4 linked regions of the Notamacropus eugenii genome follow. The protein of the gene in region 1 interacts with the protein of each later gene in a pairwise test. Links are inferred from orthologs where the notes say so. Each region holds a gene or a part of one and is shown in the gene's direction. Other genes may lie near its edges. The genes, in order: USP25, TNKS2, RAD23B and RAD23A.

Evidence for each region.
Region 2: the proteins of USP25 (region 1) and TNKS2 interact in a two-hybrid assay, tested with the Homo sapiens proteins (2 studies listed by BioGRID and IntAct). The link is inferred for Notamacropus eugenii from reciprocal best matches to the Homo sapiens genes USP25 and TNKS2.
Region 3: the proteins of USP25 (region 1) and RAD23B interact in binary tests that used the Homo sapiens proteins (3 or more experiments, as listed by UniProt). The link is inferred for Notamacropus eugenii from reciprocal best matches to the Homo sapiens genes USP25 and RAD23B.
Region 4: the proteins of USP25 (region 1) and RAD23A interact in binary tests that used the Homo sapiens proteins (3 or more experiments, as listed by UniProt). The link is inferred for Notamacropus eugenii from reciprocal best matches to the Homo sapiens genes USP25 and RAD23A.

Annotation. Positions count from the first base shown.
Region 1 is NC_092876.1:411,068,775-411,075,781, forward strand, and holds the start of USP25 (ubiquitin carboxyl-terminal hydrolase 25), read left to right. Parts: upstream 1-4,000; 5' UTR 4,001-4,496; coding exon 4,497-4,541; intron 4,542-7,007. UniProt on the Homo sapiens protein: Deubiquitinating enzyme that hydrolyzes ubiquitin moieties conjugated to substrates and thus, functions in various biological processes including inflammation and immune response.
Region 2 is NC_092872.1:208,564,535-208,572,321, forward strand, and holds the start of TNKS2 (poly [ADP-ribose] polymerase tankyrase-2), read left to right. Parts: upstream 1-4,783; 5' UTR 4,784-4,939; coding exon 4,940-5,144; intron 5,145-7,787. UniProt on the Homo sapiens protein: Poly-ADP-ribosyltransferase involved in various processes such as Wnt signaling pathway, telomere length and vesicle trafficking.
Region 3 is NC_092872.1:21,550,763-21,558,693, reverse strand, and holds the start of RAD23B (UV excision repair protein RAD23 homolog B), read left to right. Parts: upstream 1-4,911; 5' UTR 4,912-5,270; coding exon 5,271-5,363; intron 5,364-5,828; exon of another isoform or gene 5,829-6,135; intron 6,136-7,931. UniProt on the Homo sapiens protein: Multiubiquitin chain receptor involved in modulation of proteasomal degradation. Binds to polyubiquitin chains.
Region 4 is NC_092875.1:77,924,088-77,931,283, reverse strand, and holds the start of RAD23A (UV excision repair protein RAD23 homolog A), read left to right. Parts: upstream 1-4,181; 5' UTR 4,182-4,244; coding exon 4,245-4,418; intron 4,419-5,420; coding exon 5,421-5,582; intron 5,583-5,755; coding exon 5,756-5,949; intron 5,950-7,196. UniProt on the Homo sapiens protein: Multiubiquitin chain receptor involved in modulation of proteasomal degradation. Binds to 'Lys-48'-linked polyubiquitin chains in a length-dependent manner and with a lower affinity to 'Lys-63'-linked polyubiquitin chains.

The DNA of each region.
Region 1 (7,007 bases):
GTACTGCTCTATGCTAGTAAAATCACTGTCACTGGTCTCAAGGAGGTTTGGGTAAAAACAAGTGAAATAAAACCTTTCTTCTCTATCTGACTTTCCAAAGAGTTGCTACGATTTCATGGAGTATAAGAAGTCCCTTGGTCCATCTCCCTAAAAGTTATAATTTCCTGAGAAAAAAAGCCAAGGAGTAACAAGAAACTAGTTGCAGAGGCTTTAACCATCAAATCCGAGGAAACTGTCTATGCTCGTCCATATGGCTCAGAAGCATATTTGATCCAATACATAGATTGGTAAAATGTTGCTCTGAACTCCTCTAGTCTTAAGTAATCCCCAGAGTGGCTAGTACTAAAGGGTGAGAGCTTTGCAGTAAAGTAGCCTTGGAAGTATGTTTACGGAATTAAACAGATCCAGGTGGTCAGATTTCAAATCTAATTCTGGATTACCCCCCACTGGAGAGTTTCTGAGAAGCTTGGAATGGAATGTCTGGAACTGGCATATGCTGAACCAGTGCTCTCTGGAGGTGAGAAGAGGATTAAATAATATACAATCCTGTTCCAGGAGGGTCAAACATGCTGTCTGCAGCATTAAGTATGGTGTGAACTATTTTAATTACATTAAACTGGAACTGGGAAACATTTAACAAAATCATTACAAATACAATGTGTTTTTCTAAGTCAATATGCAGCCACAGGAATCCTTATATATGGATAAGTGGCTTCCATTTCTACTTCAGTATGACACCTCTGCTTTTTATCATGTTCTGATTTGTGTGACTATTTGCCAATAGGTTGAAACTTGTTTTCATTGCTACCCATATTGACAGGTGGGGTCTACCATCTGTACAATCCAGAACAAAGGTCAAGGAAGATAGAATCTGGGATCTCTGAGGAATATTTGATTAAGAGAGAGCAAATCTAAGTTGGGGAAAGTCTGTGAGGAGAGCAATGACATGCAATTGGTAGGGTCAATCTATTTCTCAGTGTATAACTTATTTCCAAAGAACTCTCTGTAAAGCAAGAGCCTATTATAAGACTAAAATAAGACTTTGGGGATCCCTGTATAATAGCTTGAATTAAATTTCCATTTCACAGAGATCTTTTATACATTCAATCTGAAAATGTCAGTAAAAAATACAAAGTGCAATGGTACCACTGAAAGCTTTATTCAAATCCTAACAAAAGCTTGGAATACATAATAGTTTGAAGTCTTTCATCAGTGGACAAATTCACTAATTATCTGCTCCTTAATGTTTTTCTATTGTCATCACAGACTTTGAGACAAACTTTCCATTGCTATATAAATATCAGCTATCATTATTTCTTCCACTTTAAATTGTTATGTTTTTACCCTTTCTCCATCTCAATTGGGTGCCCCTCCTTTCAAACACTGCTCCAAGCTCTCAGTGAAAATATTCTAGAACACTCAGCTCCCTGAATAATACCATTATGACAACAGAAAACATTCTTTCCTTTGTCTTAACTGCATACTGCTACCTTGTTGATTGAAATCAAATTATGAGCATAAAGTAGAAATTGACTAAACTACATCACAGACAGGAATACTGCTTTGAATAGAAACACATTCAATTTCTTTCTCAGCAACAATCTAACTAGTTTTATGTGATGATAATTGAGGTACACTTCATCTCAGACTCTCAAGGGTTTTCTGACCCTATGGACAATAGAATCTAAGAAATAATTTCTGGGATCTAGAGTAGCAATCCTTTAGGCACTCAAACACTTTACTGGATAGTTTTTCATCAACTTTTTTTCTTTTACTGATAATTTTGGTAAATAATTAAAACAAATATTGGCTTTTATTATGCCAAATCTATCACTTCAAAAAAATTTTGTTCAAGCTCTGCTCTCATCATGGTGTAGAAGTTAACCTGGGCTCCACAAGGCTGAAGAGTTTAAATTCTAGCATGATCTACTTCACTGAAAAGACTTCAAATACATTCTTGGTTAACAGACTGTATCATTACTAGGTATTTTGACTGCGGCAATCTAGTTTGATCCAGTAATTCAGGTTGATTGAAGTGTCTGAAGTAAGAAAATAAAAACATGGATAAAAGGTTCAGTGGTGTCTTTTATTTATGAATCATTTACAAAGAAAATTGTATATTTTTTCTTCGGTCACTATAAAAATTATGAGCTTTTGAAATTATGAAATAGTAATACAGTTGAAAGAATTTGATGATCTGTATTTTCCCAAGTACTACTGTTTTTTTAAAGCTTCAAAAATATGATGATATGAAAGGCATAATCCAAAAGGTAAGGTTACTATAAATCAGGTGAAAAAATGTGGTAATGCTAGAAAGAGCTTTATTTGATGAACAATTTTAAAAGCAACTTGATACAAAAAAATGAAGCCCAGTGCTCAAGAAATAATGAATTAGATGAAATTGCAGGAATTTATTACCAAATTCTTATCACTAATTTCTAGTTAAAAAAAAAGACATTGGCTTCTGTAGTAGCATTATATTACCCTGAATCTATTTTCTGTTTGAGGCCATTTGGTTTTCCCAAAAGTTTGAAGGTTCTGGACAACAGAATGCTGTGACTTGTCCATCGATAGCTGAATGCTGGACTGGGAGTCAGGGGACCTGGATGTCTCCTGTATGACCTTGGACAAATAATTTCTCTGGGTTTCAGTTTCCTTCTCTGTAAAATATTTTATCAGTTAAGTCCATTTCTATTTACACGTGAAAATGCAGATTCAAAGAGATTATCACAAAAGATTCTGACCTAATCCTTCCGATAAACAACTTTTCCTGTAGACATCAGATTAGAGATAACATTAAAAATAATGCACTATATTTCACTTTAAGTTTTCATCATTTTAAAATTTTATTATTAGTGTCTAAATAGCCATGAAAAAAATGATCACCTTCAATGCCATAAATATGATTACAGTAAAACTTTGAATAATAGTCTTCAAATAAAAACTGTACTCTTTAAATAATGCTAATACATAATAAATATCTGTTGGCTGACTTGGTCATTAAATGAAACAAAAAAATGTTCCAATTAATCTGTAGTTAAGATTTACAATGATAAGTAGAATTCCATTCCTATAGGCATAGTTTATGCTCATGTCAGTAACTCTCCATTTTCCCCACCAGACCGTGAAGCTAAAGCTGTTTTTGTTGCCAGAAATTTCTTGTTGCCTTCAGATTGGCGCCCCCTCCCCCTTCTATGTATGGGTAACGAAATGTGTAGCCAAGAATGAAGTCATATGTACAGCTGTAACTATTTTTAAATCGTTACCCTAATTTGGCAACATTTTAAGGTATAGCTGAGTTATGAATTAGTTATGTCACTATTCTGCAAAAAAACCCCAACCCCCCAAACTCTTCCCTCCCTGCCCCTCCCAAAGCTGCAGAAAATGTCTCATTCCAAACGAAGAGCACATGCTGTCAGTATCTGCCAGAGGAGCTGGGGCAGCCCCGGTTAAGCCAAGGGACCACTGACAGCTTAGAAGCGGGTTCCCACCTTGGTGGCCTGATTCCCACTTGAACCTGCTAGAGTCGTTTCTTCGGGTGGAATTCCTAGAAAGAAGGGCGGCCTGCAGGAGCTTCCTAACCAAGTTTCTGAAGGCCCGGAGGAGGGACGTGGGCTCACACACGCACAGAGGGAGGGAAGAGGCTGGGGGCCAGGCCCAGGGGCGCGATCGCGGGAGTCCCGTCCGAGGCCGGGGTCCTCCCAGGGCGAGGCTCCGGTCAGGGACTTGCGTCTGGGGGTGCCGGCATGGGGGAGGGGAACCTGCGGGCCTCGAGGGCGGTGAGGGGGAAGAGCCGGGTCACTCCTCGGCCCGCCCGGGCCGCAGGGTGTGTCCGGAGGGGCTGCGGCCGCCTCCGCAGTCACAATGCGAGCTCCGAGGGCGGAGGGCGGGGGAGGAGGGAGGCCGGAGCGGGAGGAAGGCCGTCCAGCCTGGGAGAGGGCCCGGAGGAAGAGGAGGGGAGGGGGGCGGCGGTGACGGCCGTTGGGGGAGGGGAGGGGCAGGCGGAGGACAGCGCCATTCCGGACCCGGCCACTCCCTCCTTTCAGTCCGTCAGCCCCGCGGTTCACTCCCTCCCTCCCGTCTCCCGGAGCTCAGCTCAGCCCAGAGAGTGACGGGCTTCCGCTTTGCCGCCGCCGCCCGCCGCGGTCTCTTCGGCTTCGGAGTTCCTGCTCGCCCTCTCTCTCCTTCCACCTTCCCGTTCTCGCCCATGGCCCCGGCTCGTCGGGGCGCCCTGGGCGTGCTGCGCTGAGTCCGGGCTCGCCCGGCTGCCCCCGGCTCGTCCTCCCTCCTTCATCCCCGGCCCGCAGTCCTGACCCCGAGCCTGGCCGAGCTGTCCTCGGAGGGGAAGGGGAAGAGGAAGAGGAAGGGAGGAGAGGGCAGAAGTGAGGAGACCCCGAGAGCTTGCAAGCGGGAGCCGGCAGCCGCGGGAGGAGGCAGGACGAGGAGGAGGAGGAGGAAGGGGAGGAGGGGGAGCAGCCGCCGCCGCTGCGGGGGCCATGACCGTGGAGCAGAATGTGCTGCAGCAGAGCACCTCCCAGAAGGTGAGTCCGCCGGGCGGTCCTGGAGGGCGCGCCCCCGCCCCCGCCCCCGCGCGCCTTGTGGACTTACTCCGGCTTCCCCTCCCCCGCGGCCGCGGCCCCCTCCCTCTGCTTTCTGGGCCGCTGACCCCTCGGCCGGGTCGCTCTGTTACCCAGAATTTAGGAAGTGCCAGGCAGAGGCCAAGCGCCGCAGGATGAGGCCCCCCGTCCCCCCAGCGCGCAGCCGGGAGCCGCGGAGCGGGGCGCCTCGGAGCGGGGGGCCTCGGAGCGGGGCTCCCCATGGGTCCTCCCTCCGCGCCCCGCCGCAGGACTGGGGCGCTTCCCCTTCCCCGGGGTGGCGAGCTGCTTCTTTCTCTTTGATTTGTTTTGTCCCTTTGCCCCCAGAACTTCCTTTCTGACCCTTGCTGCCCATCCGCCCTTAGGAAACCCGATTGATTCAGGGTGTCTCTTTGTGGGCGGGGGGGGGGCGCAATGAAGGTTTTTTAAAATTTATTTGAGGGGGTGTACTTAGAGTGGAGCAGGTTACGCCACTTGCGCTCCTCTGTGGGCTTGTTTTTATTGTGTCCCTCTCAGGTTCCCTTTTGAAGTTTATCCTAATGAAATTTCAAAAAAGAAGGAATAATTCCCCTTTATGCACTTCATTTGGACTTTAAGGTCAGAAATAACAGGGTCCCTGTCATGTGGGTCCTTTGTGTGAAGATTTTTGTTTGTTTCTTTTGCGTACTCTTTAGGCTACAAGGTATGGCTGAAAAAGGGAAGAACCTCTGGCCAAGTTCATACTATAGAAACCTTTTGTCTCTTAAGTTTGACCTTGTTTCATTTTTGACAGTTTGCCCCCTTTGAGTTCATGCCCTCCTAGAGTTAAAAGTGTTAGTAACAAATTTTTTTTTTTTTATGGAGGAAAAGGAAGGAACAAGTGTTTATTAAGTTCTTCTATGTGGCAAGAGCTTTATATATATTAACTTACTTCATCCTGGTTATAACCCTGGGAAGTAGGTGCCATTATTATCTCCATTATGCTGTTGAGGAAACTGAGGCAGGCAGCCGGTTAAAAAAGACTTAGGCAAAAAGTCGTAATGGCAAAACCTTCAATTTGTAGTACTGGATTATGTGAGATGTCCATGTTGTCAGATTTAGCCTTCATAATCTTGCCTTTGAACCATTGCATGAGAGAACAGTAAACTATGACTTAGAATTTCTTTTTAGTTTGTGTTAGAAACAGTCGAGTAGGCAATTTTTAATTAGTCTAGTGATTACAGGAGACCTGAAGTTTACTGTGAAAAATTTGTAAAACAGATGCTTTGTTTTGTTTCTTTAGGTAAATACTCTTCCATTTTAGTGACATTCTACCCAAGCTTGTTTGTTTTCTTGATTACTCCCGTCTTCCGAGTGTCTATCAATCTTAAGTTCTTTTTTCTAGCTTTGAATTATAGCTAATTAACTTAGTTAATAATGTCTTAAAATATTAGTTAATAAATATCTTAAAATATTGGTTGGTAATATAATTAATATTAAAACTTTACTGCTTCCTGAGATAACTGTAGATACCTTATGGGATGTGGTGAAATAATTACAGGCTTAATTTACGTCCTTTACTCTTTAAATTTCATCTGAAGGCACATTAACAGAAGTTTAGGAGAAAGAGCTTTTAGACTTGGAATCCAGAGAGAACTGGGTTTGAATACTAGCTGTTTACATGGTTGCCAAGTCCCTTGACCCCTTTAAATCTCTATTTCCTTATCTTGTAAAACAAGAATAATTCCAGGTTTTTGCCATATAGGATCATAGTGAGACTCAAATGAAATATTTTGCTTAAAGCACTTTGTAAACCTTTAAATCCCTACATGAATGTCATATGTTATTATAATTCATAACTCCTACATTCAAAATTATATCTAGTTTGAAGAGCTCTTAGAGATGATTGAATTCAACTCCATTTTAATGAACCTTTTTTGAAAAGAAGGAATTGTTAAATTGAAATATTGCCACCATTTCAGATAATTCACAGTATCTATCTTACTATATTAGAGTTTATTGGAAAAAAGATTGAAACTTCAAATTCTGTCTACACACTAAGTTTTAGTTAGCAACTACTTTAACAAAGAGTGCTCTTAGCTAACAGTAACTGTTAAGCAGTATGACAGAATAAGGAAGATTGTCAGTAAGGGAGGAAATCACCCAGAACAGAAGGGAAATACAAAGAAATAGAGGCACCATGGATAAAAAGAAAAAGTACAACTAACATTTACCCCAGGTACCTATCCGTGGTTCGAATAAGGTCACTGGGCTATAACTAGTCTAAGCAATATTCTAGTTTAGAGTTTAACAATGTATTCTTTATAGTGGGAGGAATCTCTTGGTGGTGATGATGATGGTGGTGATTAACTGCTCCTCTTCCTCCTATCACCACTACTTGTATTTATATGCTGTTAGCACCCTACGGTTTTCAGATTGCTTTATATACATTAT
Region 2 (7,787 bases), on another chromosome or scaffold:
GAAGCTCGAATTCTGGTGAGGGAAGACAATACACAAAGGAGACCTGGGTGGGAGGGGTGCACGGGGAGGGAAGGGCACTTCACTATATCATAGAGCAGGCCAATAAGTGGTTTAGGGAATAATGCGAAGATAATTGAAAGTCCAAGTGGAAGAGGCATGGATAGGGAGCAGGTCACTACTTCCACTGGTCATTTTTTTTTTAATATTAGCAGATAAATTCCAAATTATGCATAATTGAAAATGACTTGGTCTTTCATATTCTTTTCTATTCTACTAATCCTTAAAAGTCTGTGTGCTTTTTAAACCACTAGGTGGGAGCAATTGTCTCAGAACACAAAGGTCTGAGAAAAGGAACTAAGGAGGATATGAAGTTTTTGCCGATTATCAGGGGTTCTTTCTCCCCTTTAACAAATATATAAACATATGCATATTTAAATAAACATAAGCATTTATGTAAACTAGCTTATATGCTTGCTATTTTATTTATGTGTGCACATGTATATATATTTGAGAAATCTCATTATTGCTGTTGAAGAAAATGACCAGTTATTGAGTGCAAGAGTATGATTGAATTACAGTAATGAGTATGGTGACATGATAGCTATCTTCAAGTATTTTTAGAGGTTGTCTCATGGAAGAGGGATTAGATTTGTTTTGTTTGGCCCCAGAGGGAAGAACTAGGAGCAACAGGTGGAAGTTGCAAAGAGGTATATTTAGACTTCACATAAGGAAACTCTTACCATTAGACCTATCCAAGAGTGGAATGGACTGTCTCAGGAGGTAATGGGTTCTCCATTGCTGGAGGTGAAGCTACTTGCCAGTTATGTTGTAGAGGGGTTTTTTGTGTGGGTGCATATTGCACTAGATGGATTTTGAGACTTCTCCCTGAATTTGACATTCTATGAAAAAATTCACAAAACAAAAAGAGACAAAACAAAAATTTACAGAAGTCACTGCAATACCAGAAAAGTAGTGATGTTATTTACGCTTACAAATTTTCTTTTTAAAAAGTTTTATTGATGATGAAACAAACAGCAAAAGTAATAATATAGTAACCTTATCTGAAAGTTTATACAACATTTCACATTTGTGGGTCTTCCCACTTGTCTAAAAAAAACAAACAAACCAGAAATCTATTTTCTCTCCTACTCCCATTTAAGCTAAACAAATTCCCTAAATGGCTGCATATAAAATATATGTCTCATTCTACATCCTAAATCCATCACCTTTATATGATAGCCTACTACTGAGTTTACCTGTCTCAAGTTTCTCCACGGCAATCCATCCTCCAGTCACCAAAGTGATTTTTCTAAGGTGCAGGTCTAACCATATTACCTTCCCAATCCCCCTCACCACACACCCCCAACTCAATAAACTCTAGTGGCACTTAACACCTCCAGGATCAAATATGAAATCTTCTGTTTGGCATTCAAGTGCATTTATAACCTAGCCCCCTCCTACATGTCTTCTTACAACTACTCCCTAACATTTATTCTTTGATCCAGTGACACTGGTCTCCTGGCTGTTCCTTAAGCAAGATAGGCCATCTTAAGGCTCCAGGCATTTTCTCCAGCTGTCCTACATGCTGGACTACTCTTCCCTCCTGCTCCCTATCTACTAACTCCCCTGGCTGCCTTTAAGTCCCAACTGAAATCCTGTCTTTTACAGAAAGCCCTCTCCAGTCTCTTCATTCTAGTCCCTTCCCTATCATGTATATAGATTTTTGTAAATTTTTGCTTGTTGTTTCCCCCATTAGATTGTGAATTGCTTGGGTGCAGGGACTGTCTTGCCACTTTTTATATCCCTAGCGCTTAGCATAGTGCCTGGCACGTATTAGAACTTAAAAAATGTTTACTGACTGTAATGGATAACATGTTTCATTATCAGTCCTCTGAAATCATGAATGGTTATGGTATTGATCATAGTTCTTACAGCTTTCAAAGTACTGTTTTAGTGTTGCTATTATATAAATTGTTCTGGTTCTGTTCATTATTAAAAGTCCTCAAATTTTTTATTTTTATAATATGGATGTTACAATTATTCTTCTTTGGTTACTTCATTTTTTGTTAGTTCATATAAATTCTCTAGGTAACAATCCCTAAAGTTCTAGCAAGCTCTTTTCACTAACCTCAAACTGCTTTAACATCTGATGTCTCCGGTAAGGCAGCTTCCTCCTCTATACACTTCTCATTGCTCTACACGTATTCAGAGTGTCAAAGATGGAAAAGACCTTAAAGGCCATCAAGTCCAAATTAAATCTGCACAAAAATCCTCTCTACAACATAGTGGACTAGTGATGTCTAGCCTTGGCTTGAAGATCTCTAATTGAACTTTCTATACTTCCTATGTAATCATTTTTTAAAACATTTGTCTTGGCTAGTACTCTAACTGTATCAATTAGCAATCAGTCAAAACACATTAAGTGCCTGCTATGTTCCAGACTCTAGAAATACAAAAATAAAAATGAAGCAGTCCCAGTATGAATCTGATAGCTATCATCCATTACCTTGTAAACTCCTTGGGGACGATATAGGATTCCTGTAGTCTTAGAGTGACCTAAAGCACTTAGAGCCAGTATGTGAGGCTTGAGACCAATTTTCTACTCACCACCAAAATGAATTCAACAACAAAAATGCCAATAGTCATCATATGCTTTATTTAAAAAAAAATAAATTTGTATTTGACTCTAATGCATCTTGATCTAGAAGCTGGAGCTGAAAGTTTATACTGTTTTTCCTCCTCAAGAACACAAAGAGTGGAGGAGGAGGCAGTTCCTAGGACAAATAACATTGTGTGTCCTTCCCCACCTACTCAACCTTTTTTATAATTGAAATATGCTAACAATGAACCTTGAAGGAAAAAGACAAGAAAGTCACAAAAAAGCAGCCTGTAGTTTGAGGGGGTGGTTTAAGAAAGGGACATTATCTTCAAGCAGCTGGCCTTAGTATTATGCATTCATTATATACACATGCTATAGGATCCCTGTAGTCTTAGAGTGGCCTAGAGCACTTAGAGACCTCAGTAGGCCTGAATTACTTTTCCAAAAGGAGAGGGTAGACTGGATGACTTTCTAAAGGCTCTTACAACTCTAAATCTTGTAACAAAGACCCTCAAGCCTAGTCCTTTCAGAAACAAGCTGGGGGATGGTTTTTAGCAGCTAGACCCTTTTTTCTTTTTTTATTATATTATACTTAGCCAAGCTTTAAAGTTTGCAAAGCACTTTACCTATTAGTGATTAACCTATTATCTCTCAAAATTTTCACAACCCCAGGGAGCTGGGTGCTATTATTCTCATTTTTATAAAAAAAAAGGATTAAGGTCCAAGGACAAGGTACCTCTCGGGTGAGATTTGAAATACAATTCCCTCACTGTACTCTCCACATTTCTACTATCGACTAAAGAATTTATCATTATTCAACAAATACTTGTTAAGCGTTTACCTTCGGCCAGCCACGGTTCTAAGAGCTAGGACTACAAAGACACTGTCTCTGTCTTCAAGAAGCTCGGATGTAAATAATAAGGGAGAAAACACTAGCATTGAGGAAAAGCTCTCTGTGGAACATGTGATTTTTAGCTGGTACCTGAAGGAAGCCAGGGAAAGCAAGAGATAGGGAGGAGAAAAGAGAGAATGTCAGGCGGTTAAAACTCAGTCTAGAGACGGTGTCTCGTTCAAGAAACAAGCCAGTGTTACCGGATAGGAGGGTAGGTGCGAAGCAGTATGTTGTAAGAAGGCTGTTACGGCGGGAGGAGGCCGGGTTAGGAAGGGCTTGGGACGATTTTCTCCTTGGGGGTGACGTGGCTATTCCTGGGTTGGCTAGGGCAGAGACTCGAGACAGGCGGACCACGGCAGGCTGTTGTAACTGCCCAGCGCCCCCGAACCGCGCGGCGTCCGAGCAGAGAAGTTAAAAATCGAGGGGTCCAGAGAGGATTCGAGCATTCATTCATCTCATTCTTACCACACCTTCTAAGTGTTTGTATTCCTCTCAAAGGGGCTACAAACACAATTACACCGCCCCGGGCTGGGAAGCAAAAACTAGACAGTCCTAGCCCTCGGGATGTTTACACTCAAAGCGTGTAAAAAGAGGAGCGAATCCCCGAGGCCCGCCCTTGAATCGAGATCTAAGGCTTGCCGAGCGCGGGCTGCTTAGGGGATCCCTCTCCCAGGTAGAAAGCGAACACAAAGTAATAAGGGGGGCGGGCCTTCACGACGGCGGGAATCAGGCTGGGCCTCTCTTTTTTCTAGAAATCGGCTACTAAAAGCAAAGAAAATGGGGAGGCAGGGGGCAGGGCCGACAGGAGGGGAGGCAAACAACCGGAAATTTCCCTCAGGAAGGGTCCCCAAGGTGCTTCAGGCCTCCGCGCCGCGCCGAGGTCCCCAAGCGCTCTCGGCAGGCCAAAAGGCTTAAAAATGAATCTCCCCTTAGAGAACATGCGCAGAAGTAGTTAACCGAGCACTGTGGGCGGAAGGGGCCCCAGCAGCCAACATGGCAGCCAGGCCCTGGACCTTCTCCGCCTGCGCCTCAACGGCCTCCTTCCTCTAGTCTAGTTCCCTGTAGGCCCCTCCCCCCTCTGAGCAAAACCTGCCTGACGCGTCAGTCGCTTCTGCGCACGCGCATCCGTGGCCGTCCCGTGAGCCTCCCGGAGTCCCCAGAGCCAGCCGGAGTGGCCTTTGCAGCCACCGTCGCCGCGGCCGCTCAGGGAGCGGGGGGCGGGGCGGGAGGGACTCGCGCTGCCTGAGCGGCTGGGCAGCCGAGGGAGCTCGAGGCGTCCGGGGCCTGGGCACAGGGATCGCTGCGGGGAGGGGGGGGACCATGGTCCTGCGCCAGGGCCGGTGACGGCGGGGCGGAGCGGAACGGAGCAGCCTGGGACTCTGAGTACGTCTCTCCCCGGGAGCCTCGCCCTCCTCCTCCTGCCGTCGCCGCCGCCGCTGGCCGCGATTATGTCCGGCCGCCGTTGCGCCGGCGGGGGAGGACCCGGCGCGGGCGCGGCCTCGGCGGGGGAGGCCGTAGAGCCCGCGGCCCGGGAGTTGTTCGAGGCTTGTCGGAACGGGGACGTGGAGCGCGTCAAAAAGTTGGTGACCCCGGAGAAGGTGAACAGCCGCGACACGGCGGGCAGGAAGTCCACCCCCCTCCACTTCGCCGCAGGTAACTAACTTAGGGGACCGCCGCCGGCCGGAAGTGGAGCGCACAGCTCCCCCCCACGCCCCGGGCCTGGGGCGGTCTGGGATGTTGCAGCCCCACACCCCACCCCCAGCGCCCGGGCCCCAGGCGGAACTCCTCGGCAGAACCCTGGGCCCAGGTTCCCCGAGAAGGGGGATGGGGGAAGCTGCGGGCCCTTGACACCACCCACCATGTAGGTGGCGTTTTGTTTGTTTGTTTTTCACCTCCCGAATTCGTCACCGGGATTTCCTGTCCTGATAAAGCGACTGGGTCGGGGACCACGAGCTGCCCTACTCACTCTTGGGGTGATTTGAAGGCTAGAGAGGCTCTTGGCCACCCCCACCCCCCCTCCGACCTATATGTTCACTCGTGTCCTACCAGAAATTTCTACTATTAAATTGTGGGGTTAAGGCACTAAAGGCCTTAGTTCTAATGCAAACGCTATAATACGGGGAGAATGGGGGTAATAACCAGCAGCGTTCATGTAGTAGTTACGGGGGGTAAGACTTGAATAATTCAATTCAAGGAGTATTTATTACAAAAATAGGTATAATAAAAAAATTTTGCAAACTGAAAGGAAAGGACCAGTTGGAGCTATTAGAAAATCGAGGGTGAAATTACTTTAAGGGGGGAGGGGGAGTGACAGAGGGAATACACAATAAGATCAGCAGATTGGCTGGCATACCTTTGGACTTGTCTCCTTTTACACTGGACTTGGAAATTTTGATTTGGAATGGGGGAAGGGGGGTAGTCAGAAAAGGGCCCAGCTTGATAAGTGGGTGGGACAAAAGGATTCCGGACAAATTGTGGGCCCCTAGTACGTCTACTTGAGAATTTGTTTGGGACTAGCCCTACCTAAACTTTTCATTGGAGGGGGGGGAAGGTGTCCTGTCCCATCCCATCTTTGCTAAGAAGTAATAAAGTCTGACATTTGTGTATCACTTTACAGTTTGCAAAGTTCACATGTATTGTTTCATTTAAAGTTTGTGCTAATTTTTTGTTTCCTTGTTTCCCTTTTTCTTGAACAAAAACCAAATTTGACTCTCACTCCCACCCTTTTTTTAAAAATCCTCTTGCTAAAACATGGGAGAGAAAGGGCAGTATGGGAAAATCAAAATGGGAAATCACCAAAGACTTGATGTTCCTATTTTATACAATTGTGTCTAAGGCTTTTTTTTAATGGATTCTGTTTTTGGCATGCCCAGCATTCCGGAACTTCTGTTAGGCAATGTAGGTTACAGTAAAACAACTGCTTCCTGACTTGAGGGAATGTAGCAAATTGATTTAATAATATGAAAATAAGATTATTTAGAGTCCACTCAGTCTGTGGGATAGGAAAGCATTTAGTAGAAAAAGCCTTTGAAGATGGGTAAAAAATATAATCTAGATGTCTGTAGTTATGTTGGTTTCTCCTCCCCCACCTTTATCCAGAGACCTCATGTTACCTTTCAACAACCCCCTACACCTAAATTTGCCCTCCAATTACTGATTATAAGAATTTAAAGGGGAGGGAGACAAGAACTGGGAAAAGTCTGTAAAAGTAAAGGTTAATGCAAGTTTTTTTTTAATTTAAATTTTGTAAATTCAATCTAAATGAGAACTCCTTAGTTTTAAAATAGTGAATAGAACTTGTACATTTTTTTCTTTCCATTCAGAAGAGTAATTCTGTAACCTCCATTTTATAAACTATGTAATGTTGATACAGTGATATTTTGTAAATATCTATGTTGGGTGGTTCTCTATGACTAATAAGCATATGTGTATGGATATACACACACACATACATACATACATACACTTATAATGTTTTTGCTTGTATTTTGTAATAAGGATTTTGAATAACTTGCTTATCATCTGTAAGGTAGTTCCACTTTACATGGAAAAGCTGACTTTTCATTTTTCTGTATCAGACAACATTTATTAAGTGTCCACCATGTGCCTAGTACTGTACGTAGCACTGGGGAGATTAAGAAAAGCAGCAGTTTCTGTCCTCAAGTATCTTGCATTCTGTAGGAGACAACAGTACACTATAAGTAAATACAAGGTAATTTGTGAGAGAAGCAGTAATGAGGGGTGGGTCAGGAAATACTTCTTATAGAAGAAGGAACTTGAATTGACATTAGAAGATTGATATTCTAAGAGTTGGAGGTGAGGAGTGGGGCCCATTACAGGCATGGGGGACAGCCTATGCAAAGGTATGGAAGTTGAAAGCACAGGTACAATTTTTGACCTTTGTATCTCTAGCACTTATCATAATATACAGTAAGTGCTTAATAAATGTGTTTTGATTGAGGGTGACCTCTGTGAGGAGCAGCAAATAAGCCATTTTGGCTAAACTTAAGAGTGTATATTAAGTTTTAGAAGTGGGCTGGAGCCAGACTGAAGATCTTTAAATGCTAAACAGAGTATATATTTTGTCCTAAGGGCTATAGGGAGCTACTGGAGCTTTTTTTTTTAGCGGGATAGTGACCTGCTGCTAAACCAGCTGTCTTTTGAATAAGATCTATTCAGCATCTATGTGGAGGATGGATTAGAAGGGGAAAGCCTGGAGTAGGAGATATCAATTAGAAGCCTTTGTAGTCCTTCATATAGAGGTGATAAGAGTAGTGTCTGTGAGAACAAAGATAA
Region 3 (7,931 bases), on another chromosome or scaffold:
GACGAAAGCAACTAAAAAGTCCATCTTCTCGATAATCATTTTTTAAAAACAGTATGTGAATGAAATCATAGAGAAAAGTTATTCTAAATGTGTAAAAATATGGTAGAGCCTAGGCGAGGAGAAAATGAGGATTAGGTTGTCTGATTCCGCATTGTTTTAAGGCTGAATTTTTAGTGAACGAATGAATTACGAAGCATTTATTAAATGCCTGCAATTTCCAAAGCATTATGCTAAATGGTGGGGATATGAATAGGAAGACAATATGATCCCTGAACTCAAGCAGTTCGTATTATAACAGGATAAACAATACATAGAGATGGGCTCAGCTGCAAGTCAGATGGAAAGGCCCAGTGGTCGTTAGAGTATAGGACAAAAAGCAGGAGGCAATGCATCGTCATTTTCATTGATAAAAGCATCTTGATTTCTGATGCTGAAACATATGACAAGCTAAGGAGTTTGGTGGTGAAAACTTGTTTTCCTCTAGGTGTTCTATGCCCTATGTAGATATTGAGGTGGTTGGGGTCCAAAAGGTGTGGCCAGGTTTCCTCTCCCTAAGGCTTGTTTTCCTGGACAATGACTGTAGGAGATGGGCTCTTGGTAGGGGAGCGTGGGGCAGGAGGAAGGAGAGCTGCGATTCTTGGGTGTCTCAGCTTATTTGCATGTTAGTGGTGGGGTCGCTGGTGATGCATGGAATGTTTTGTTCCATGGTGGCTGCAGGAACAAGGCTAGAAGTGTAGGAAATGCTGTTATTCCTGGGATTTTGGGGTTCCAGATTCTGAGCTGCCTCTCCTTGGGTCTGAGAAGAGATGGTGTCATGGTAGTAGAAATGGTTTGACTCAGCTGTCACATGCTGCCTGCTCCCTCAGGGTGCTGTGCTGAAGAACTCCTGGCAAAAGCACTTTTACCATCAAATTTAGAATCAACTCTTGAATTTTACAAGTGAGGAAAGTGAGGCCCAGAAAGGTTAAGTCACACACAATGAGCAGTAGACCTGGGATCAAATCCAGGTCTTCTGACTACAAATTCAGTCCTCTTTTTATTGGGTTATATTGCCAACTCTGCCTTCACCAAGAGTCACTGTTAACATAGAGCATAGGAGGCAATCAGTCAATATTTTTTTTAAATGAATCCATCTATTCATTTGAGTAAAAGAATCTACCATGTATTTTATTAGAAAAATATTGTTTACAGAGACTTGGCACCTATCTAAAAATGCCAGAATTCTATAAGAATTCAAAATCACATTTATGTCTGATAGAATTATAAACTTCACAATTTTAGGGGGAGGGTTATGGATTAAGGGAAAAGTACAAACATTATATGAATAAGCTACCAGTTAAATCCTTGCTATCTCCAAACCGTGAAAAGCTGTTGGGTGTAAACTTAACAGCATAGCTGAGGGGACGGAGAGGCAGGAGGACCTGGCTTTGAATTCTAACTAGGATACTTACTCACCACAGGCAAAATCGCTTAACTTCCCCAAACCTTCCTTGCTCGTGGGGACAATACAACAGTTAGTATCAATCTCACAGGGCTACTGTAAGGCTCCACTGAAATAATGCACCTTAAGGTTTTACAAATGTTAAAGCTCTTCTAATCACTGAGCTAGATATTCCAGTATTAGCCAGTTTATGTATATGTAACCTTTGTATACTCATTCATCTGTCGTGTGTGTGTGCGCGCACGCGCAAAGCAAGCAGTCAGAAAAAAATAGCTCCCAATTTTTATTGGGACTGCAAAGATCATCTAGTGCAATCCACTCATTTTACATGAGTTTGTCCCTTGCAAACAACTGACTGTTCTGTGGACTTTTGTCCTTAGAAATAACTGGCTTGTTACCAAGTATTTTTAAACAGCAGAGCACTTCAATTTCTGCCTCTTGCCCTGATCAAACCACAAGAAAAGATTAAAGCCAAACATTCCATGAACACTGCTCAAAACTGCCATTAATTCTTGTTCTTAACAATATACCCCACAAGAGTACGTTGCCCTCCCCCCACCTCCCAGCTAGAAAGGACCTTGCTGTACCTTTCATTCCCCCTTTAATCCCTGATTTTATAACCCACAAAAGCTATTCCAAACTTTCTCTTTTTCCTTTAGCTTCCCATATTTTCTACTACCCCCACCTTCTTGGCTGAGAACTTTATCTCTCTTTACTGAGAAAATGAAGACCAATCCTCACAAATTCCCTTCTCTCTTCATCTCACAAGCCTTTACTTTCATCTTTTTTCCTTGAATCTGATCATGAAACAGTCTTCCTCTCAAGGCTAACGCTTTGGCTCCCTCAACCAACCCACTCCTCTGATCTTCAACCTCTCTTTCCTCTCCCTGTCCATTGGTTCCTTGACCACTGTCTTCAAATATACCCATCTTCACTATCCTTTAAAAAAAATCCTTCACTAGATTCTCAGATTATCTTAAATTATTGTCCTAAATCTCTCCTTCCATGTGCAGTCACACTCCTAGAAAAAGTCAGCACTTATTTCCTCCCTTCCTCTCATCTGACTCACTCCTTAAGCCTTTATAGTCTGACTTCTGAACTCCTCCCTCATCTCTCATAAAGTGTCAACAATCTCTTAATTACCAAGTCTGATGATTTCTTCTCAGTCTTTATCCATATACATGTGTACATATATGTACACACACATATATATGCACTGCATTTGAAATTGATTACTCTTTTCTCCTGAATACTCTATCCTTTTTGGGTTTCAAGGAATTATTCTCTTTCAGTTCTCCTACCTATCTGACCACTCCTTCAGTCTCCTTTGCCAGCTCATCATTCATATTACATCCCCTTACTGGCTGTATCCTGGGCTCATGTTTCTTCTCTTTCTCTACTCTCTCTTGTTGACCTGTATCAATCCCTATGGGTTTGATGATTTTTATGCAAATGAGGCACAGATCTATATGTCCAGTCCCAATCTCTCCCCTGAGCTTCCATTCCAAATTACCCACTAACTATTGCACATTACAAACTGCATGTCCAAGGGACATCTCAAACTTGATATGTCTAAAATACAACTCATTATCTTCTCTTAAAAAATCTTTTTATCCCTCTTCCAAAACTCCCATACTTCTATTAAAGGTACTCATTCTTCCAGTCTTCTAGGTTCCTAACCTCAGGGTTATCCACTCTCCTTCATCCCATATATTCATTTAATTGCTACATCTTATAATTCCACATCTAACACAACTCCTTTTCTCCACTCAAGACAGTCACCGTCCTAGATCAGGCCTGACTATTCTCTTGCCTGCCTATTGCAATAGCATCCTAATAGGTCTCTGTCACTCAGGTCTCTACCAATCCAAATCTGTCTTCCACAGAGCTACCAAAGTGATTTTTCTTAAGCACAGATCTGATCTTACTCAAACTTCAGTGGTTCTCTATAACCTGTAGGATCAAATATAAACTCCTCTGTTTGGCTTTTAAAGTACCGGCCCCAACCTATCTTTCTAGCATCATTACATACTACTTCCACTCTATACACAAAGCACTCCATTTCCCCTCTCCACACCTCTGTACCGGCTGTATCCCATTCCTAAAATATACCCCCTCCTCACCTCTGCCCCAAGGCAGAGATTAAAATCAAGCACCACCTTCAAAACCGAGCCTTTCCTTTGCTGGTGCCCTTCCTCTCTAAATAAACTGTATTTATATTCTGTACTTTTGCTGTGTATATATTTAATTAGGTAATGCTGTATCATGTTTAGCTACTTTACAAGTATTGTACATTTATGCCATATATATATTCTCACACGTATTTGACTCCCCCATTAGGATGTAAGTTCCTCTTAGAGTAGAGATTATTTTGTTCCTTTTTTAAACCTATATCCCCAAGTGCCTAACACCATGCCAGGCACATCGCATATTGCTTAACGCTTGTCCGAATAAAGCCTGTTTAGTTCTTTGTATTTTTATCTCCAGCACCCAGGACAGTTGCTGGCACGTAGTAGGTTCTTAATAAATGCTTGTGGATTGACTAATTCTCTAAATTGACCCCTCATTTTGGAGGTGAATTAACAAAAGCTGGAAGGGTAAGGGGGAATTCCTGATTAGTCCGAAAGTAACAAAGTAGCAACCAAACCGCGGCCCCACCTGGCTTTGCCATTAATAGCCACGCGATCTCGGTCAAGCCTCTGAACGCCCTCAGCCGCCTTCAATTTCCTCATTCGTAAAATGCTACAAGTTGTAACTGACACCACCTGTGTAACATTGTCAGCGCCAGGCTCCAGGGGAACACGCGGTCAACGCTTAAAATCCTGCGTAGCTCTAAGCATCTACCTTTTTTTTGTACGCAGTTGGTTCCCCTTTTTGTAGAAGTTGTCCGCACCTTCTCTCCGCCGGGACCTGAGCTTTTCTTTGTATTTGTGGCGCTTAAGCAGTACCCGGCACTCAGCCGGCGCTTAATGATTGCTGATGGATTTAATTTCGAAAGGCTCGTGTTGAGTTTCAGTAAAATGGAGGACTGCAGGGAGAGCCGAGGCTGTGGCAGTCTAGAGTGAACTTTAGCTCCCAACCCAAACCGTGGCCCTATTTCTTGTCTCCCACGCCCCAGTTCAGGACCGCCTGGCCTGCCACTCACACTGGGGAGATAAATGGTGCAGGCGCCCGGGGGAGGCCAAAGTGGCGATGCGAGCCACCAGGAGGAATCTGAAACTCCTTTACTATCCGGACTTCGGGCACCAGGATCCCCCCTCCCACCCGGACTCCACCATTTCGTACAGAAAGGCGGCGGGGCAGCGAAAAGCGCAAGCCGCTCACTCCGGACGCGGGCTGCCCCAGCACGAGGTGCCAGCCCGGCAGCCCGAATTCCAGCAGCCGCTCCTCCACCCCACCCCCATCCCCCAGCCTCGGAACCTGCGTGAACAGGGGCTACGTGCCGCGCGTGCGCACAACCCGCCCGCCTCCCCCTGCGCCTGCGCGCTTCCCGACACCCTCCTCTTGACCCCTCCCCCAACTTCTTCGGGAGGGGGAGGGGGGATGTCGAAGCGAGTCATGATGGTGGCGACCAGGCCCTGATGAACTAGCGGATTCACTCACTGCCTCCCAGACCCGCCCGCAGTGCTGAGGACGGACTCCCCACCGGCCCCGCGCCTCGGGGAGAAGGCGATCGCGGCCGATCACGCCGGGGGAAAGCGACAGCGGGAGCGGCGGCGGCCCAGGCCCGGGGGAGAGGCCGCCCCGCAGGGTGAATGTGACCAACCCCACCGGCCACCTCGACCTCCCTCCCAGCGGGCCCGAGAGGCCGACCGAGCCCACAGCAGCCATGGCGTCCGGGGGCGGCGGCGACACCATGCAGATCACTCTCAAGACCCTCCAGCAACAGACCTTCAAGATCGACATCAGCCCTGAGGAGACGGTACGGAGGGGAGGGCCGCGCGGGCGGGGGGAGGGGCGGGAGCGCGGGCCGCGAGGCGGGCCCCCTCCCCCACCCGCCCTGGGGCCCGGGGGGGCCGGGGGGACTCGAGGAGGGGGCGGTTGGGCGCCCCGGCCCCGGCCCGGCCCTGCGGGCGGCGCTGGACGCGCGGGAGAGCCCCACGAGAGCTTTAGGAGGGGCGGACGGGGGGCGCCAGCGCGGCTGCGCGGACCCGGGGACTCGGAGGGGCCGCGGGCGGGGGGCAGTGCGGCCGGAGCCTGGGGGGGGTGGGGGGGCCGAATCTGCGCGGGGGGCGGGGAGGGCGGGGAGGGGGAGGGGAGCCTCGGGAAGTGCCGAGCTTGGGGGTGGAGCCCGAGGCTGTGGGAGTCTGGGTGGGATTGGGGCGGAAGCCGCGGGAGGACCTGGCCCGTGGGAGGGCGGTCACGGAGGCTGGGGAACCTGTCTCACCGGGATCCGCAGTGGGGAGAGGATCTCCGCAGGTGTGCCTAGGCCAGGAACGCCCCCGAGTCCGGCGCCATGTGCCTGGTGGCACCAGGACCCCTGCTGAGCCAGCTGCCCAGCGGGCGAGGGGCAGAGCCTCGTGGGTCTCTCATGGAATAAAATGGCAGGGTTGGGAGAGACCAGACCAGACCCTTGGTGCCCTGGAGAGCTGCATTAAGTCTCATCCTCCCGTGTTAAAGTTTAGAACAAGCTACCGTAAGCGTTGCCCGCTTTAGTGCCCACCGCCGTGAGCTTCTGTGGCAGTTTGGGCGCTTGTGACAGCTAAGAGGGCTGAGGTCACTGCCAGGGTATTCCAAGTATGGGCCAGTCCTGAGAGCGCAGGTTTGCCAGTTAGGCTCTGCCATGGTCTGTGCCAGATGGGAAGCCTCCCGCCTGACGTCCAGGTGGAAGGGCCTTCTCCCTGTTTGATCTCGTGGCAGTTTGTGTTTGTTTCTGCTCCTTGATGGAAATTCCTTCATCCCCTAGTTTGCCTCTTATTTATATCTGTCCCCCTTAACATCTGGCAGACCACGAGCTTAATCAGTGACTCATGTTGATGTTAATGGCAGAAGTTATTTTTTCCTGAATGAAGAAAGGTGGCCATTTAATATGGACTTTTTACTGGACAGCCACCCTTCTTGGTCCAGGAGGAAGGACATGGAGTCTTGCTCTATATATTTATTAAAATCCCGTCCAAGTCCTTAGATCATTGCATGAGAAACCTAGTTTAGTTGTGTCTGACTCTTCTGTGACCCTGTTTGGGTTTTTCTTGCCTCATTTTTCAGATGAGTAAAATGAGGCAAATAGGGTTAGGTGGGTGACCCTGATAGTAAGCATCTGAGGCCAGATTTGAACTCAGGAAGACTAAACTTTGTGACTCCAGGCTGGCACCCTGTCCACTGCTCCGTTGACTGCCTCATATAAAAGTATAGTACAGGAATTCCTAACCTGGAATTGTGACATTTAATAGGATTTTTGAGTAGCAAATTCATGTTTAAAAATAACATTTTTACCTTAAAAACTTGTCTTACGTAGTAGCTAGGATACAGTGAACTGGGCCTGGAGCTGAGTTTAAATCAGACTTCAGAAACTTACTAGTTGTGTGAGCCTAGGCAGGTCGCTTAATGTCTGCCTGCTTCACTTGGTTCAGCTGTAAAATGGGAGGTCGGAGAGCACCTAGCTGGGAGTGTTGTGGTGAAGTTCAGAGGAGTTGGTTTTTGTAAAGTGCTTACCAGAGTGCTAGATACTTGATAAATACTTACTCCTTTCCCTGGTTCCCTCTTGGAATAATTACTGACTGCCTGTTAAGGAGTTGAGAATCACTTAAAATCTCCTTGAATTGTTTCTTTACTTTCCAACAGGTAGAAAAACAATTTCTGTGTGTGTTGTTGGTATGAACAAAATCAATTGAACAAATATTAAGTCCATTCTGTCTGTGGAGCTGGCGGTGAGAAAACTTGGATGTGATCTCTGGACTCAGAACTTTTACTTTAGTAGAGGGTGTATGAGAAAAGTTAAAGTCACTTGATAATATAAGTGAAGTGCCAAGTGCTTTTTGAAATAGGAGAGGGTGGTCATGTTTCATGGAGAGTGTAGGTGCTTGAAAGCAATGCTGTCAAATTCGGAAAGGGATCTCTGCAACTGCATATTGACTTAGAAAACCACAAATGAACATTATTTATGTTTTATTATATTTTTGAGTTCTGTTTTAGTTTGTTTTGAGTTTCTCTTCTTTATGAAAGGAAATCAGTTCTAGAGTTCACCATGCATATCTGTATAACAAAGAAATAGATTGGTTAATTTTAATAGTATATTTATTTACCCCCAAATTCCCTATATTTCCTTTACAATTACTTCAAACCCCATTCAGTATGCAGACTTCAGGCCTTCAAAACTTGGAGTGGATCTGAACCATATTAAAATACATTGGGAAATATTTAACAAAAGTAAAATACAATATAACATTAATTATGTCAATGTGTGGGGTTTTTTTAAGTCGGTATATGGCCAGTTGGGCTGCAGATCTCGTAAGGGCCAGTTTCTGTTTGAGTTAGAAACTACTATAAAGGA
Region 4 (7,196 bases), on another chromosome or scaffold:
CCATCCTCAGGAGCCAGAGAGGAGGAGGAGGGGGGTCAGTCAGCCTGGCCCTGCCCTTAGGTATCCCATAGCACTGAGGGGGGCTAGGGTTTGGCCAACAGTGCCTAAGCCAAACTCTTTGCTCCCTTTTTTCCCCTCTGCCTGGGCTGAGGGCAGGGGTGGGGGCAGAGCCCCTGTTGTGGGGGGGAGGGTTAGGGAGGGGTTGTCAGTTCTTGCTTGGTCACATTGAGAATGTAAGAACAACAAAAAAAGAAATTTCTATTAAATTAAGTTTTGTGTCTCCCTCATGTGTTTGATTTCTTGGAGAGGGGAGCAGTGTAAGCTTCTCAGTTTTCTGAACTGCTGCCCAGCCCTAAGCTAGTGGGGTGGAACAGATAGATCCCTGGGGTTCTGGTCAGTGTGAAGTGTCTGTCTAGTGGCTGCTCTGGCCAGAGAAGATGGCCTCTGTGCCTCTGGTCAGCTTCTTTTCCCCACCTGTGCTGTAGGGCTCAGAGTTCCAAACAACAGGAGAGATCCTGGTCCATGGCCTCTCTCCAGGAGCCAAAAGACTGGATTATGAAGGAAAGCTTTTTGGGAGGACCTGTTAACAGTAACTATTCAGTTTTGAGTTTATAAGTAAGATTTAACGTAATAATAACACTGTCAGAACCTTTACCACCTAACTTCTTTCTTCTGGGTAACTTATTTTTTTATTGAGTCTTTAAAATTTTCTTTCCCATCAGTATCACTAGCCACCACTCCCAATACAAAGCTCTCTACCCTCCCTGGTAACAGAGTCAAGGGAAAAAAATTCACATAATAGCAGTGTCTGAAAATGTATATTCATTCTGTACCAGTCTGTCCACTCTTTGAAGGGAAGCCTGCTCCAAGTTTTCTACAGTTATCACTGGTAATTTCATTGATAAAAGTGCTTTTTTCTTTTAGAGTTATTTTTATCATCAGCATATGAATTCTGGCTCTGTACTACTCTGCATTATTACATAAAGTTTCTATTCTTCCCCCCTGAAATTGCAGAAATTGTCATCCCCAAATAATGACCACCCACTTTATTTATATGGGCCCTTTTCCCTCTTGATCACTTAGTGTGGCGTACATAAATCCCAGTGATTGCTGTGTCAGAGTATGTATATAGGGTTTGGTGAGTTGAAATTATCCTAATTTCTTGCCAGAATGACAGGATGAGGACTGGTTTTTATAGTTTGTGTTGTGATCAAGATATTTATGTGTTAGACCATGAAGTTGAGAGCCCTTGATTGTAGCTGTTTCTATCACCAAGGTCTAGCATAGACTGCTTTGTTCATGACAGGCATTAAGTTGCTTGAATAGAGGAAATGAAAGTGGAACTATATTGGGGCTGAGTCCCTGAATGAGGGGCCTAAGGAGGGTGTGGCTGTTGTCAAGATTGGGAAGTTGGGAGAATTTGGTACTGGGCTCCAGCTTGATAACTGGGCCTCAAGCTGTGCAGATTGCTAGCAAATACTAGAGAGAAGAGAGCGCCAGGGACTAGTCAAGTCCAGAGAGAGCCCCAGGAATGATTGATCTGACAGGTGAGGTCTCCAAAGGAGAGCCTAGAAAGGACAACAGCTAACATTTTTATAGTGCTTACTGTGTTCCAGATCCCATTTGGTCCTCACAACAACCCTGGGAGGTAGATGCTATTATCTTCATTTACAGATGGGTTGACTGACACAGATTAAGTGACTTGCTGGACAGAGTCTGAGGTGGGAATCTGAACTTGAGTCTTTATGACTCCATGCCCAGCTCTCTGTTTCCATTGTGTGCCATCTAGATTACCCATCCAAAAGAGGTCAACAAACAAGATAATGAGGATCCTCAAGCCTTAAAAGATTGGGGTAGGAAAGGATGGCTGTTGGGCTTGGGTAAAGAGACAGGTGAGGTGAGGCCTTCAAGGAGAGGACTTATTAAGGTTGAAGTCTTTTGGGCTCAGAACTAAGATCACAGAATGGAAGTTACTTTGTGACAAACAGTCATGTTGGGTGTCTCTTCACTAGGGCTTGTGAGCCATCTGTTAGCGCTGTTAGTAAAGGGATCTCTGCACAGGGATAGATGAAATGGCCTCCAAGCCTCCTTCCGTTATTGTAATGTCATTTGAGGTCCCCCAGAGATCCCAGAGGACCAGCGGAATAAAGATACAAGTCCCTTAACTCATTGTATACCTGCTCTTAAGTTGTATCCTCCCTGAAGTTCAGATCTCTCATTTTGTGTGTTTGAGAAAATTAGTGCTGGTCATAACTGATAGGCTATATCGGCTATTGCCCCTTTGTACTTTCTAGAATCAAGTGTCCCTCCCTTGCCACAACTATTCCCCTATGTCGTCTCTTACTAGAATCTAGCAGGACTAGTATTTATATCCCCGGTACTTAGTACGATGCTTGACGAATGGTATTTGCTTAATAAAATGCTTGTTCATTAATATGTTTACTCAGTGAACTTAGCAAACTGGTGGATGAGAAAGATGAACTAGAATGAAATTTGACTATCATTAAGGCTTACACAGTGGCACAGTGGATAGAATGCCTGGCCTGAAGTTAGGAAGATACATCTTCCTGCGTTCAAATCTGGCCTTACACACTTACTAGACCCTGGGCAAGTCACTTCACCCTGTTTTATCTGCCGAGAAAACCCCAAATACAATATTAAAAGAAAACTCAGCAGCAACAGCTACAGTAGCAATAAGGGCCACAGTGTTCTAGAGGCTGGAAACTCTCAAGCTTACATTCCGCTGGGAATACATGTTCATTTATAAGCAGCGATGCACGGCAGCTATTGAGCCAATCACGCTGATTGTTTACATTTCAGTGTGTGCTTTTATACCTTGAAAATTAGCAAACATGATTTATTGTTTGTTGGTTATACTGTAGACCAGATGTATTGAACACTAAACCTGCAAGCCCACAACACTTCTATAAATAAAAAGATTACAAAACACTGGTAATATTAATATGTGCTTTTCTAAGTCACTATGTGTCCTACGGGGATTCTTATGTACTTCAGTGACCACCATTTCTATTGATATCACTGCTCTAAAATGTGATGAAAATGTTAATAATGCAAATTAAACTTAAAAGGGTGTTGTGCTACCTTTTTTATTTTTGCAGAGTATGTTAAAAATTTACCAGCACATCCCTGCATAAGTAAATATGAGAAATTTCTAGAGATAATTCACAGTGGGGGAGGGGAACAAGAGAGGCTTCCTGTGGAGGTGGTACACCTGAGCTTTGAAGGAAGCCGGGAGTTCTTATCAAGTTGGAAGTGAGAGATATTCCACTGCATTTTCCCCCCAACTACATTTTTTGATATTAAGCTTGTCAATGGAATTCAACAAACGTTGACTACACTGTATAAAATGCTGAACTGGGTCCCAGATGGACAAAAATCTAGCTTGGGAAGTGTGGCGTAACCTGCGAAGCCATCACGTAAGGAGTCCGCACTGGTGGGAGATCTGACCCCACCCTCTGACTCTGAGCTGAGACCTCCCCTACGTGATGACCTCCTAACAGAGGGGACCTCCTGGAGAGCGGCGAGAGGCCGGATGTTGTGTTCGTGTCTGGAGCTTCGCCCAGAGGAGTCGGTGAAAGCCTCAGGACCAAGAGATGCGTAGCACCGGGTGATCCAAGCGAGGCTATTTCCCCAAACAACTGGGATTTTCTTGAAAGCACAGGATATGGACTTTGCTGGGAGGGGACAGGCTGGAAGGTGTAGGGGATGTAGGAATGTAGGGGATGGGGGATGGGGGAAACCTGGCTCCCCCCGCCCTGGAGGTGACAGCACCAGGCTTGTTCTTCTGTTTGCTACCTGTGTGACCTTGGACAAGTCACTGAAGCATTTCTGGGCCTCAATTTCCTCATCTGTAAAAGAAACGGTTGGACTTGTAAAGTCCCTTGCAGCCCTAACTATCACACTATGATCTCCTGGGGCCATTTTGTGACAACATGACGCCACCCAAACAATGACGTCACCATACGAGGAGCCTCTAGTGCGCAAACTCCAGGGGAGAATGGGGGGGCAGAGGTGTGCTGCCCCTGCGACAGCGACAAGGTGGTTCCTCAGTACGCATGACCGGGAGAGAAAATTCCTTTTTTTTCCGTTCATCGACCCCCGTCACGTGATCGGGGTCGCTGCGCTCGCGCCTCTCCCTCCTCGGTCTCGTCACGAGGCGCGCATGACCGGGAAGCAGTTCCCGGCGTGGCTCAGGGCGCTAAGATGGCGGCGGCGTGAGTTGCATGTTCCCGTGTGTCTACTGTCCCGGGGCCGCCGCGTCGGACGGAGTGAGGGACGGACCGGACGGACGGAAGCAGTCGCTGCCGCCGCCCCCCGGCCCAGCCATGGCCGTCACCGTCACCTTGAAGACGCTGCAGCAACAAACGTTTAAGATCCGCATGGAGCCGGGGGAGACGGTGAGGCCGGGACGGGGACGGAGGCCGGGACGGGACAGCACAAGTCCGACTCGCCTTCGCCCTTCTCCCCGCGGGGCGGGCCAGACGCAGCCCCTTCCACCCCCTCCCCCTTGCTGTCATTAGCGGACCTCCCTCCCCTTCCCTGAACCCTCTCCCCCTTCCAGGTCCCCCAAGTCCCCCCTCTCCCCGTTACCACCACGCTCTCCTTCAGCGGTCAGCGCCCACCCTGTCTCTCTGGGCCTTTGGGGGCGGGGATGGGGAGCCACCCCCAGAGCTACTTTTTGGACAAGGGGGAGGCTGCTGGCAGAGCTCTGGTCCTCTGTTGGGGAAGCCCCGGTAGCCCTGGGCGATGAAGGTAAAGATGATGATGATGATGACGACAGCAGTGACTTACTTTGGATAGTGAGCTATAGCTCCCCCCACCCAACAACACTGCCGAGTAGGTAGTGGGGGGAGAACTGTCCCCACAAGTACCGGAGGTACGAGGGGGAGAGGCGAGGGTGACACAGGCAGACAAAGAAGCGCTGGGAGCCCTGCATATCCTGGACCTTTGCTTCAGCTGTGGTACTGACTGCGGGCTGAGGCAGGGAAGGGATTATCCCTCCTTTTACAGACTCCAAGGGCCCTTCTAAATCCCCTGATCTCTAAATCCTCTGCTCATAGGAAAGATGAGGAAACTGAAGCCCAGGAAAAAAGGGACTTGCTTAGGTTCATATAGTGAGCAAGAGCTGGGATGAGAAATTCCAGCTCCTGACTTCTAGCCTGGGCGACTCTCCATATTGGCATCTGTTCCCCTTTCCTCCTGTGGTCCCCAGAGTTCTGAGGACCCAGTCTATAAGACTCTACCCTTCCTTCCCCTCCCCGATCTCTTGACTCTCACTTTGTAACCCTTGGACAAATCCTTTGTGTTTTGGGTCTCAGTTTCCCTATCTGTAAAAGGATGAGGTTGGATTCTTTTTCTAAGGGTCTTTCCTGACCTAAATTCTGTGATTTTCTCCTCAGGTGAAGGTGCTCAAGGAGAAGATTGAGGCAGAAAAGGGTCGTGATGCCTTCCCTGTGTCTGGACAGAAGCTTATCTATGCAGGAAAGATCCTCAGTGACGATGTCCCTATCAGAGACTATAAGATTGATGAGAAAAACTTTGTGGTCGTCATGGTGACTAAGGTAAGGACCAGTAGGCTCCTGGGGTAGAGGAGACTAGAAGATATTCCAACTATGGTGTGTGCCCATCTGTGTCCTAGATAGATTAGGCCTGGTGAGGGTGGGGTCTGGTCCCCCAGCTCTGTTGGAGCTGATAAAAACAAGGCTCTGACCTATCTTCTCTTTGGCCCTCCCAGGCCAAAGCTGGGCTTGCCACTTCGGCACCTCCGGAGCCCTCTGCCCCTGCTGCTGCCAACACCCCGGAGCCCTCCACACCTGCCCCACCAGCTCCCACCATTGTTGCCATGCCCCTACCCCCGCCAGCACCCAGTGAGGAGAAGAAGTCCACAGAAGAGTCAGCTGCTGGGACACCTCCAGAGGCTGGGCCTGGGTAAGGCCTTCCCAGGTTGGGGTTGGGGGACTCATGAGCTCTGGACTTTCCTTTTCTCATGCTTTCCCAGGATCTCTGTATTGGAAAGGGACCTCAGAGGGCATCAATTCCAGTTCCTTCATTTATAAACAAGGCAGCCAAGGCCTAAAAAGGGGTTAAATGACATTCCTTCTGTGTCATTTCTGATCATTTTATCATCCAACCTCTGCTTTAAGACTTCCAGTAACAGGGAACTAAATCCTGAGGCAGCCCATTTCATTCTTGGACATCTCTAAGTTTTTAGAAAATATTCTTTAAATTGAGTCAAAATCTGCCTACCTACAACTTGTACCTTTTCCATTCAGTGCATTGTACAGTGTACTGCAGGTCACTGGCTCTGGTGTCTGAGGATCTGGGTTCAAGTCCTATGGCTTACACTTTATGTTATGTGAACTTGTATACATTACTTAACATTCCCTGGGGCTCAGTTTCCTCATCTGTAAAATGAGAGGGTTGACTAGATGATTTCCAAAGTCCCTTCCAGCTCAAATTAGATGATTTTGCAATCTAAGTTTTACCCTTTGGAGCCCAGCAGGATGAATCTGATCCAAGTCTCACATATATGAGACTGCTCCAATGCATCTCTGGGTTTGTTGTCTTCTGTCCCCACTCCCAGAGATCCAGGGCCCCTAGGATGGCGAGAGAGAGGTGAGCAGCCCTTTGAGGAGCCTGAATCAGAGGGCACAGAGTCTGAATGAAGGAATGGGATCTCAGAGGCCATCTGAATCCAACTGGGTCCTAAGCAAGAATCTTTTCTAACAACACCTCTAATCCATGGTTGCCTGGCTTCTCCTGAAGACTCCTAGTGAAGGGGACCTCACTACCTCCCAAGGCAGCCTCATGCTTCTTTGGGACAGCTCTCCTAGTTAGGAAGATTTTGCTTACATTAAGCCTTAATCTATTTCTTAGCAACTTCCCATTGCTCTTATTTCTGTCCTTAGATCAAGCAGAAGCAGTTCTCCACGGGATAGCCCTTCAGATCTTAACCTGCTCCCTTGTAGCCTCAGATGTTCCCTTTTCTACCCCAAACTTCCTCAGTTCCTTCAGCTCCTCCTCACAGCTTGTTCTCCCATTCTTTTACCATCCTACTTGCCTCTCAGGCGGTTTGATAAGGGCAGAATAGAGCAGAACTTTTGCCTTCTTTGCTTTGAACAGTGTGACTCTCATAGCAGCCTTGGATTGTTCTAACTTTACTTTTTTGGCCGTTT